Linked DNA regions of Xenopus tropicalis. The protein of the gene in region 1 purifies or fractionates together with the protein of each later gene. This does not show direct contact. Links are inferred from orthologs where the notes say so. Each region holds a gene or a part of one and is shown in the gene's direction. Other genes may lie near its edges.

What was found.
Region 2: the proteins of ppp2r3c (region 1) and fgfr1op purify together in Homo sapiens (affinity purification with mass spectrometry; 3 studies listed by BioGRID and IntAct, counting the BioPlex papers as one, with this or other methods). This does not show direct contact. The link is inferred for Xenopus tropicalis from reciprocal best matches to the Homo sapiens genes PPP2R3C and CEP43.

The regions. Positions count from the first base shown.
Region 1 is NC_030684.2:109,432,083-109,435,908, reverse strand, and holds part of ppp2r3c (serine/threonine-protein phosphatase 2A regulatory subunit B'' subunit gamma), read left to right. Parts: intron 1-769; coding exon 770-891; intron 892-1,226; coding exon 1,227-1,331; intron 1,332-1,449; coding exon 1,450-1,562; intron 1,563-1,950; coding exon 1,951-2,048; intron 2,049-2,137; coding exon 2,138-2,208; intron 2,209-3,789; coding exon 3,790-3,826. UniProt on the Homo sapiens protein: May regulate MCM3AP phosphorylation through phosphatase recruitment. May act as a negative regulator of ABCB1 expression and function through the dephosphorylation of ABCB1 by TFPI2/PPP2R3C complex.
Region 2 is NC_030681.2:56,938,123-56,941,948, reverse strand, and holds part of fgfr1op (FGFR1 oncogene partner), read left to right. Parts: intron 1-1,316; coding exon 1,317-1,378; intron 1,379-2,446; coding exon 2,447-2,508; intron 2,509-2,654; coding exon 2,655-2,738; intron 2,739-3,338; coding exon of another isoform or gene 3,339-3,341; coding exon 3,342-3,556; intron 3,557-3,826. UniProt on the Homo sapiens protein: Required for anchoring microtubules to the centrosomes. Required for ciliation.

The DNA.
Region 1 (3,826 bases):
TTTGCAATAGTGCTTTATTTTTATTTATTTTTGTATTTGTTTATGTACCTATCTGGTTGCTAGGGTCCAATTTACCGTAGCAACAAGGCAGTGGTTTGAAAAGTGGAAGATGAATAAGAGCAGGCTTGAACAGAAAAATACGTAATAAAAAGTAACAATAACAATAAATTTGTAACCACGTGGAGCATAGTGACCCCTATTTGAAAGTGTGAAAGACAGGAAAGAAGTATCTTCTGAAGATGTATCATCTGAATGTTTTTAAATGTTTTTTTCTTTTCTCTGTAATAATAAAACAGTACCTTTTACATGATCCCAGCTATAAAGGCCCCTTTTCAAAAAAACCCAGGTCCTGAGAATTCTGGAAAACAGGTCCCATACCTGTATTATGTTCTAGTCTAGTGCATGCTAGATGCTTAATTGGAAAATAGTGTAGTTTGCAGTCTAGTTACTAATTTACCCTTTGTCATATTACATTGTAAATGGATTTAAAGAGAACTAGTTGCTTTGCATATGAATGTACCAGAAGGTGTTTCATGGCTTTTGTGTATTATATAGATATAATTAGGTTTGATTATGTTTAGAGCCAGATATACCTGAGATCTGTATAACTGTCGGATTAATATTCTGTTCCTAGATTAAACATTGATTATTGCATTGCTACATCAAATGATAGCTGACATATATCTTTAGGGCTGCATATTAATTGTCATGAAATAAAGAAACATGCCAGCATTTTGGATTAAACAAGGTTTTTTTTCGTATTTTTCAGTCAGAAAAAGTGAGCAGGAAATGAAAGAAGAAGAAATGTCCCTCTTTACAAATTATTATACAGAATGGAAAGGAGGTGGGAAGGTCTCAAGTGCCCAGAATATCCCTCGTTTCTATTATAGGGTAAGCATCATAGTTACAAGGAGTTTGTGATCTTAACAAGTTGAATCATTTGTATGTATATATTGGACCCAATATTAACTCTTTGAATTGTATTTCCCTAATTCTGTATATTCTATACAGGCTTAATTATCAGTCACTGAGCAGAACTGAAGTTCAGAAAGTACCCAAGACATTGGGGGAGGGGTGAAATACAGTAAAGTTCAGTATTGGAATGATTTTGGTTCAAGGCCTACTTGTTTCCATAGATATTTATGAAAGGACAGTGAGGGTGAAATTTCAGGTGACCGTACAATGCATAAAGTACTTCATGTAGATCTGTTTTCTTTCTCACACAGCTCCCTGCAGAAGATGAAGTACTCCAGCAGAAACTAAGGGAAGAATCCCGGGCTGTATTTTTACAAAGGAAAAGCCGTGAGCTCTTAGACAATGAGGAGTTACAGGTAGGACAGACTAATCTTATTGCTTCTGTTCTTCATTATTTGCTTTTGTTTTGAGTCATTATTTTAGCAATACAATATTCTATGCATATATGTTAAAGTTCTCATTTTCCTTCCAAAGAATCTCTGGTTTCTTCTGGACAAGCACCAGTCTCCGCCTTTAATTGGAGAGGAAGCCATGATCAACTACACAAACTTCCAGACTGTTGGCGAAAAAGCTGGAGAAAAATGCAAGTAAGTCTCGGCAGTCATGGCAGGGTATAGATTGCCTTCTTGGTACAATGTAAATAATATGGGGTGATGTTAAATATACATTTGGAAAGGGTCCAGCAGACTTGGCACCCTGGAGCTGCACTCAAATGTCTTGGTAGATTTTAAAGTAGCAAACAGCAAAGGAAAATGCCTGCATAAAGTACTAGAGAGACCTGTGTGATCATATTGTACAAATGCACCCAATCTAATGTGGCATGTCTTGGAGACAGAAAATTGAACCTGCTTGTCTTATTTTACATGATCTCCTCTGGGGGTTAGCACTTTGCTGAAAAGCAGAATAATTAATTATAGTGCAATGCAATATCAGAAAGTAAAATCATCTATTTTTTTCTGTTTTTTCTCATTTCAGGACATTTTTTACCTCTAAAGTGTTTAGCAAGCTTATACCCAACGATCCCTATGGCAGAATATCCATAATGCAGTTTTTCAACTATGTCATGAGGAAAGGTAAGCTAAAGAGCCACTTGCTGTATCATTGTACTGTTGCATTACATTTCGCAGATTACTACAGATAGCATATAACTTCTTTTTTGTAGTGTGGCTGCACCAGACGAGGATAGGTTTAAGCTTGTATGATGTGGCTGGCCAAGGCTACCTTAGAGAGTCTGTAAGTATTTTATTTTAATAGTTTTTTACAACACAATTTATCTTCACTCACAGTTTGAGATTTGTTCCTTGTTCTATGAAATCGCAAAAAGGGTGCCCATGTCTAACAGGTACTGAGATGCCAAGTTTCTATTCTCCTGTGTACACTTTCCCTGTGTGGTTTGCAGTTCTTATATACACTATCATTCTTTGAAATCCTGGCACACAGACACATCTCCATCCTTTTTTTTTTTTCTAGTTTTTTAATTTTTTATGGCATCTATCCTGCCCGTGGGAACTGTAGACTTTTGTGGAAGCTATTACTCTGGCCAAATAGCTGTTTAAATAGCCTCCAAGGAGTCCAGTAGCAATGTCCAGTTTGACCAACTCTCTGCTGCCTGACAATACAAGCAGAGTTAAACTGCCAGTTTGCAAACACTGATTACAAAAGTAAATTGGGTCAGAGCTATGGAGTCATTTAGAGGCAAACTCCTGGACAGGAGCTATGAAGGGGAGCTGGAGTGGTTCCCTTGGGCCCATTATCTGGAGAGCCAGCAGGCAGGAGTTTGTGGCACATCACGCAACATCTAACACAAAACATAACTTATGGTGATACTTTTTTACAGTGTTATCAAAACCAGAATTCCATATCCCCCAACTCTATTTTTTTGGTCCTCCAGGACAATGATTGGATCAGGTTGGAGTCCCTTGCGTACTTGTAATTTCTATGTATAAAAAGTGTTGTAATTTCTACATGGTGAAACTGAAATGTATGCAAATAACTTTAGATTAAAGTCTGAATTGTTTGCTTTAAAATTCGCACTGAGGAGAAAAATGTGTTTTTGTCCCAAACATAATGGAGGGTGTCCAGGTTTCAAAAGTCAGCTTGTTTCCAGCTGCTCCTTTTACAGCACAAGTGCATTTCTCTCTTTTTACATTCTGCATACTGTGTAGTGTCCAATCAGTGGTGGGCCTAGGGTTGGGGGCACCCAAGGCAAATGCCCCCACGGCAAATGCCCCCACCTGCTCTTCTCCTAGGATCACATAAGGTGGCGCGCACTGTCTTTTGTCTGTCTTTCCCCCCCCCCCGCGCATGTCAAATCCTGGTTTACATGCAGAATCAGAACTTCAGACTGGCCGAAAGTAGGGGCCGTTAAGCCAAGATTTACATGCCCAGTGCCCTTGCAGTTGCACCCTAGGCACGTGCCTCTTCTGCCTACCTACTTCTGGCCCTGTGTCCAATGTAGATATACAAGCGGGTTTAATAACTGTGTGCCAGTTCTGTGTTCACAATGGTATCAATAGTGTAAATGAGGGGCGCTACAACTGACTGTGTGCCCTATATATCTTCCATTAAGATTAGGATACTCAGTGCCATGACAGTTATGGGTCAGTTTATGCTTCTGAACATTCTGCCTTAGAATGCGAAAGCACGGGGAGGGTAGCCAGTAATATTACATATATGGACAGTACATATATCACCTTTCATTGTAGCTCAGGCATATTGGGCAGTTAATCTTTGGTTTAACACTTATTGTACAGCGCTGCAGAATATGTTGGCGCTCAATATATAAATGTTAATAATAAGAACTCTGTTTTATAGGACTTGGAAAATTACATTCTTGAATTGATTCCGACAT
Region 2 (3,826 bases), on another chromosome or scaffold:
AGTCCAGGGGCGGGCCAAGCCGACCAGGCACCCTAGGCAACCTGGTCGGCCACCTCGCCCCTGCACCTCCTCTTCCCCCCCCCCCCCCCCCCATTGCTCGCATAAGGAGCAACAGGGACCGGTTGCGCAGAAAACTTCAGTGCGTCCTCACACCATTTCTCTGTATGTGAGTTAAAAGGACATAGATGCACATGCACGCGGGGTGGGGGGGCCTTAGTTGGCAGTTCCAGTCCAGTGTGTAGTGCTGTCTCTGTCTGAAAGCTCCGAATCGGGCACAATGCACTTAGATGGCTGGCTAGACACCAATATTACAGCTAAAAGAAAAAACATTTGTTGGTTCAAGAATAACATTTTAAATGGTAGAGTGAATTATTTGCAATGTAAACAGTGTATATTAGAAATAAAAAGTATACCGTAAAAATCATAACAGTATCCCTTTAGGTAAGTCTGCACTACCCAGAGAACCTTTCTTAAAATATACAGAGCAAAGATACTCTATTTTTTCCTATTTATTTATTTTATTATGATTTTTATTGATGTTCAAATATAAAGAAAACAGAGTAACAAATAAAGTCAGATAGAATGAACATTGCAGGAGTCTGTGTCATGTAATAAGCATATGATCAATTATACAATGTTATAAGAGGAGGGGTACCTGTCCTCCCCCCTCTTTTCCTTTCTTTTTCTCCTTCCTTTCTTCCCCACTCCTTTTTATCCCTCTTTTCTCTCCCTAACTCTTTTCCTTAATTAATGTACTGACATTAATTATTGATTGTTTATAAAAAAAAATCAGATTTTTTCTTTTAAAGGAAAGCCAGTGAAACCATGTAGTACTGTAAGTGTTATACTGTTCTGGTGAGGAAAGAGAGAACTCTTAAAATTGGTGTATTTTTTCTATACCAATCTTGCAATGTTGGCGTTACGGTTTGTTTCCATCATTGCAGTATTAATATTTTAAACGCATTCAACAAGTGCAGTTCTAGTGACTTTGTGAAAGTAGAAAGCATTTTTTTTCTATATAGAATAGCAGAACATTCATTGGGTATTTCAAAGTTTATGGTATATTGCTTATCTAACATTCTCCCATCAAGGCTGAGTAAGTGGACATGTCCATTTGGAGGGAGTGTAATACCATCTTGTGGCTATCTTTTATAATTTGTTTCTTGACCTCTGCAGCATCTAGAGCTCTTAAGTTTGCTATTTATTTTATAAGTCCCTTGAGTACTCCTGTTTCATGCTTTTGAACTTACATCCAAGGGGTGGCAGATTTATCAATTTTTGAGTTCAAGATAAATTAAACAGAATTTTTTTTACAGAAGCATGTTGGAAAGGTACGTGACTGATGAATTTAAAGCTGCAGATAAGGATTTCAATAATGGTATGTTTATAGGTTGAAAATTAAGAATTGTATGTATTCTAACCTCAATTTTTTTTTGTTATTGATGCAGGGGAATCCTTTAATTTCAGTTCATGCTTCAAGGCCAGTTTTTTGTATATTATTATTATTATATAAGGTTTATTGTGGCAGGAGAGTGTAAGTGGATTTGATAAATACAACATTGCCCTCTATTATCAAGACATAATCTGCAAGCATTTTGAAGTACTTTCAGAAGCAAAGTTAAACAGTCGGAAATCTAATTTTGAATTCTGCTTTACATTTAGACAAATGCGTTAAAAAGCTGTTCTTGACAGCATGTTATATATTTCACCCTTTTAAAGCAGCACTTACACTTAGCACTCACTGTCCCTACAGGATGGATATTAGGGTGTACTAACCAGTCTTGCAGTTTGCAGCCCCTTTTATGTACTATAATAGGTAAAGAGAATAGTCACCAAAAAGTAATGATTTATACAGTGTCGGACTGGGACTCCAGAGGCCCACCAGAAACCCAACTCTCCAAACTATTTTCCCCCCCTTTCCTCACTCAACCTCTTTATTCTCTTAGTCTTTTCTATTAACATGCTATTATCTATTCTTCCTACTGTTTCTGCACTTTGTTCCCATTCAAAAATAGGGAATGACCATGGCCATAGGCCAAATGGTTAGGAGCAGGAGGGCCCACCAGGATACCAGGAAAACACTGGATTTATCAGCTGTCAATATAGTCCAACTGTCCTTCAATATTTGAATGTCCAACTCAGAGCCTTGATAGTAGGTGGTGGAAAGATGTTTTGTACTATAAAAAACCCCACCATCACCACTACCTATTATCCCTAAGTTGGACACACAAGAAGAGAAAAATGATAATTTGCATTTAGGTTTAGCATGGTTGTAGCCTAATCAGCCATATTTTGGTATGCTTCTTTGTATTCAGAGATTTACCTGTTTGCTTCAGGACAATTTTAAACACAACTATTTAGAACTGCTAGGACATGAAGTCTGGAATTAACATTAAAAAATAATATATTTTTGTCCATTCATGATAATTATGTTTTCTGTTTGTAGGTATTAATTTCCACGAATTCATTGGGATGTACAAGCGTTTGTTCATCCATTGTAGAAGTGTTGTAAGTATGTTAAAAGAAAGTTCATTATTGTTTGGTGCAGCATGTACATGTTTTTCAGTCCTAGATGCCACTTATGGAAGACACCAACTCACTCACCATGCTTTTATTTGAAAAACCTTCTAAGTAGATTTATGTTTGTAATGCAGGTAACACATGATGTTCCTGATATTATACATTCCCCACGGAGGTCATTAGAAGGAAAGGCAAATTTACAAGCAAATTATAATCAGGTATGTCAATATTTAAATGCCACTCGCTGTGTGTGTTTTTTTAAATAGGGCAGGTTTCTAACCCTATCATTGGATCTTCTGCTCCCGAAGCAGCACAGAGCCATTTTAGGCAGCAACCCCATAGTTGGGCAGCCAGAATAACTACCCTTTGTGAAAGCAAAGTTGCACCTAAAATGGCGCATAGCCATTTTATCTGTGGACACCCTTATGTCATCAAGCTAGTGCAAGTTAGTTGGGTTGATACCAACTTGGACCCAGTATAGTGCTGTTGCAAAGTTCAGTGTGAGAAGCTTATTTGGTAATCTATACACCCCATCTTAAGTTTGACATTAATACTGACTGGTAGGGATTACAGGTATGAAGTAAGGTTGTTGTAGCCCTTGTGGCCTCCACTTCGTGTTTCTAGGCATGTATAAAAGTCTGTGTAAGAATAGTAAAGGGCCGGGTGTGTTTCATGTCTAAACAATTCTGTACAGTTTACCATCTTAAACTACATGCTACACAAAGTTTGATAAAAACATTCCTGCTTCAATTATTAGCACACTTGCAGTTTTTGTACAGGTCCTACAGTGTATGCTCTCATTGTCTGTTCTAATTCAGCAGACTGATGATCGGATTGAAAAAAATACTCTCTTCTCTAGAGAGTCCAAACAGAAGCTTGAAAACCACATATTAACCTTTGAAGCCAAATCAGATTTCAATCTAAACAAGTTATCCTTTGATAATGAAGAGAGAAAAACAGAATTGGATGAAGATTATCTTGAAGGAGATTCTTTCTTTGATGATCCTATTCCAAAACCAGAGAAAACATATGGATGGTGAGAAATAGATTCTGTTGCGTTTTCAATAGATGCATTTATTTATTTATCAACACAGCAGTTCACTTTGTAACTGTTTTCTAGAGTTATCCTATAGAGAAGGCAGTTTTAAAGGAAATAATATATTCTATGGATCTCTTAGTGAATGATTTTTTATATGAACATTATGACCTCATACAAACACATGGAAAAGTGTAGTAGTAGGTTTTTTTAATGTTCCATGCAATATTGTATGTATACTGTTACATGCTGTGTAGTGAAGACATGCAC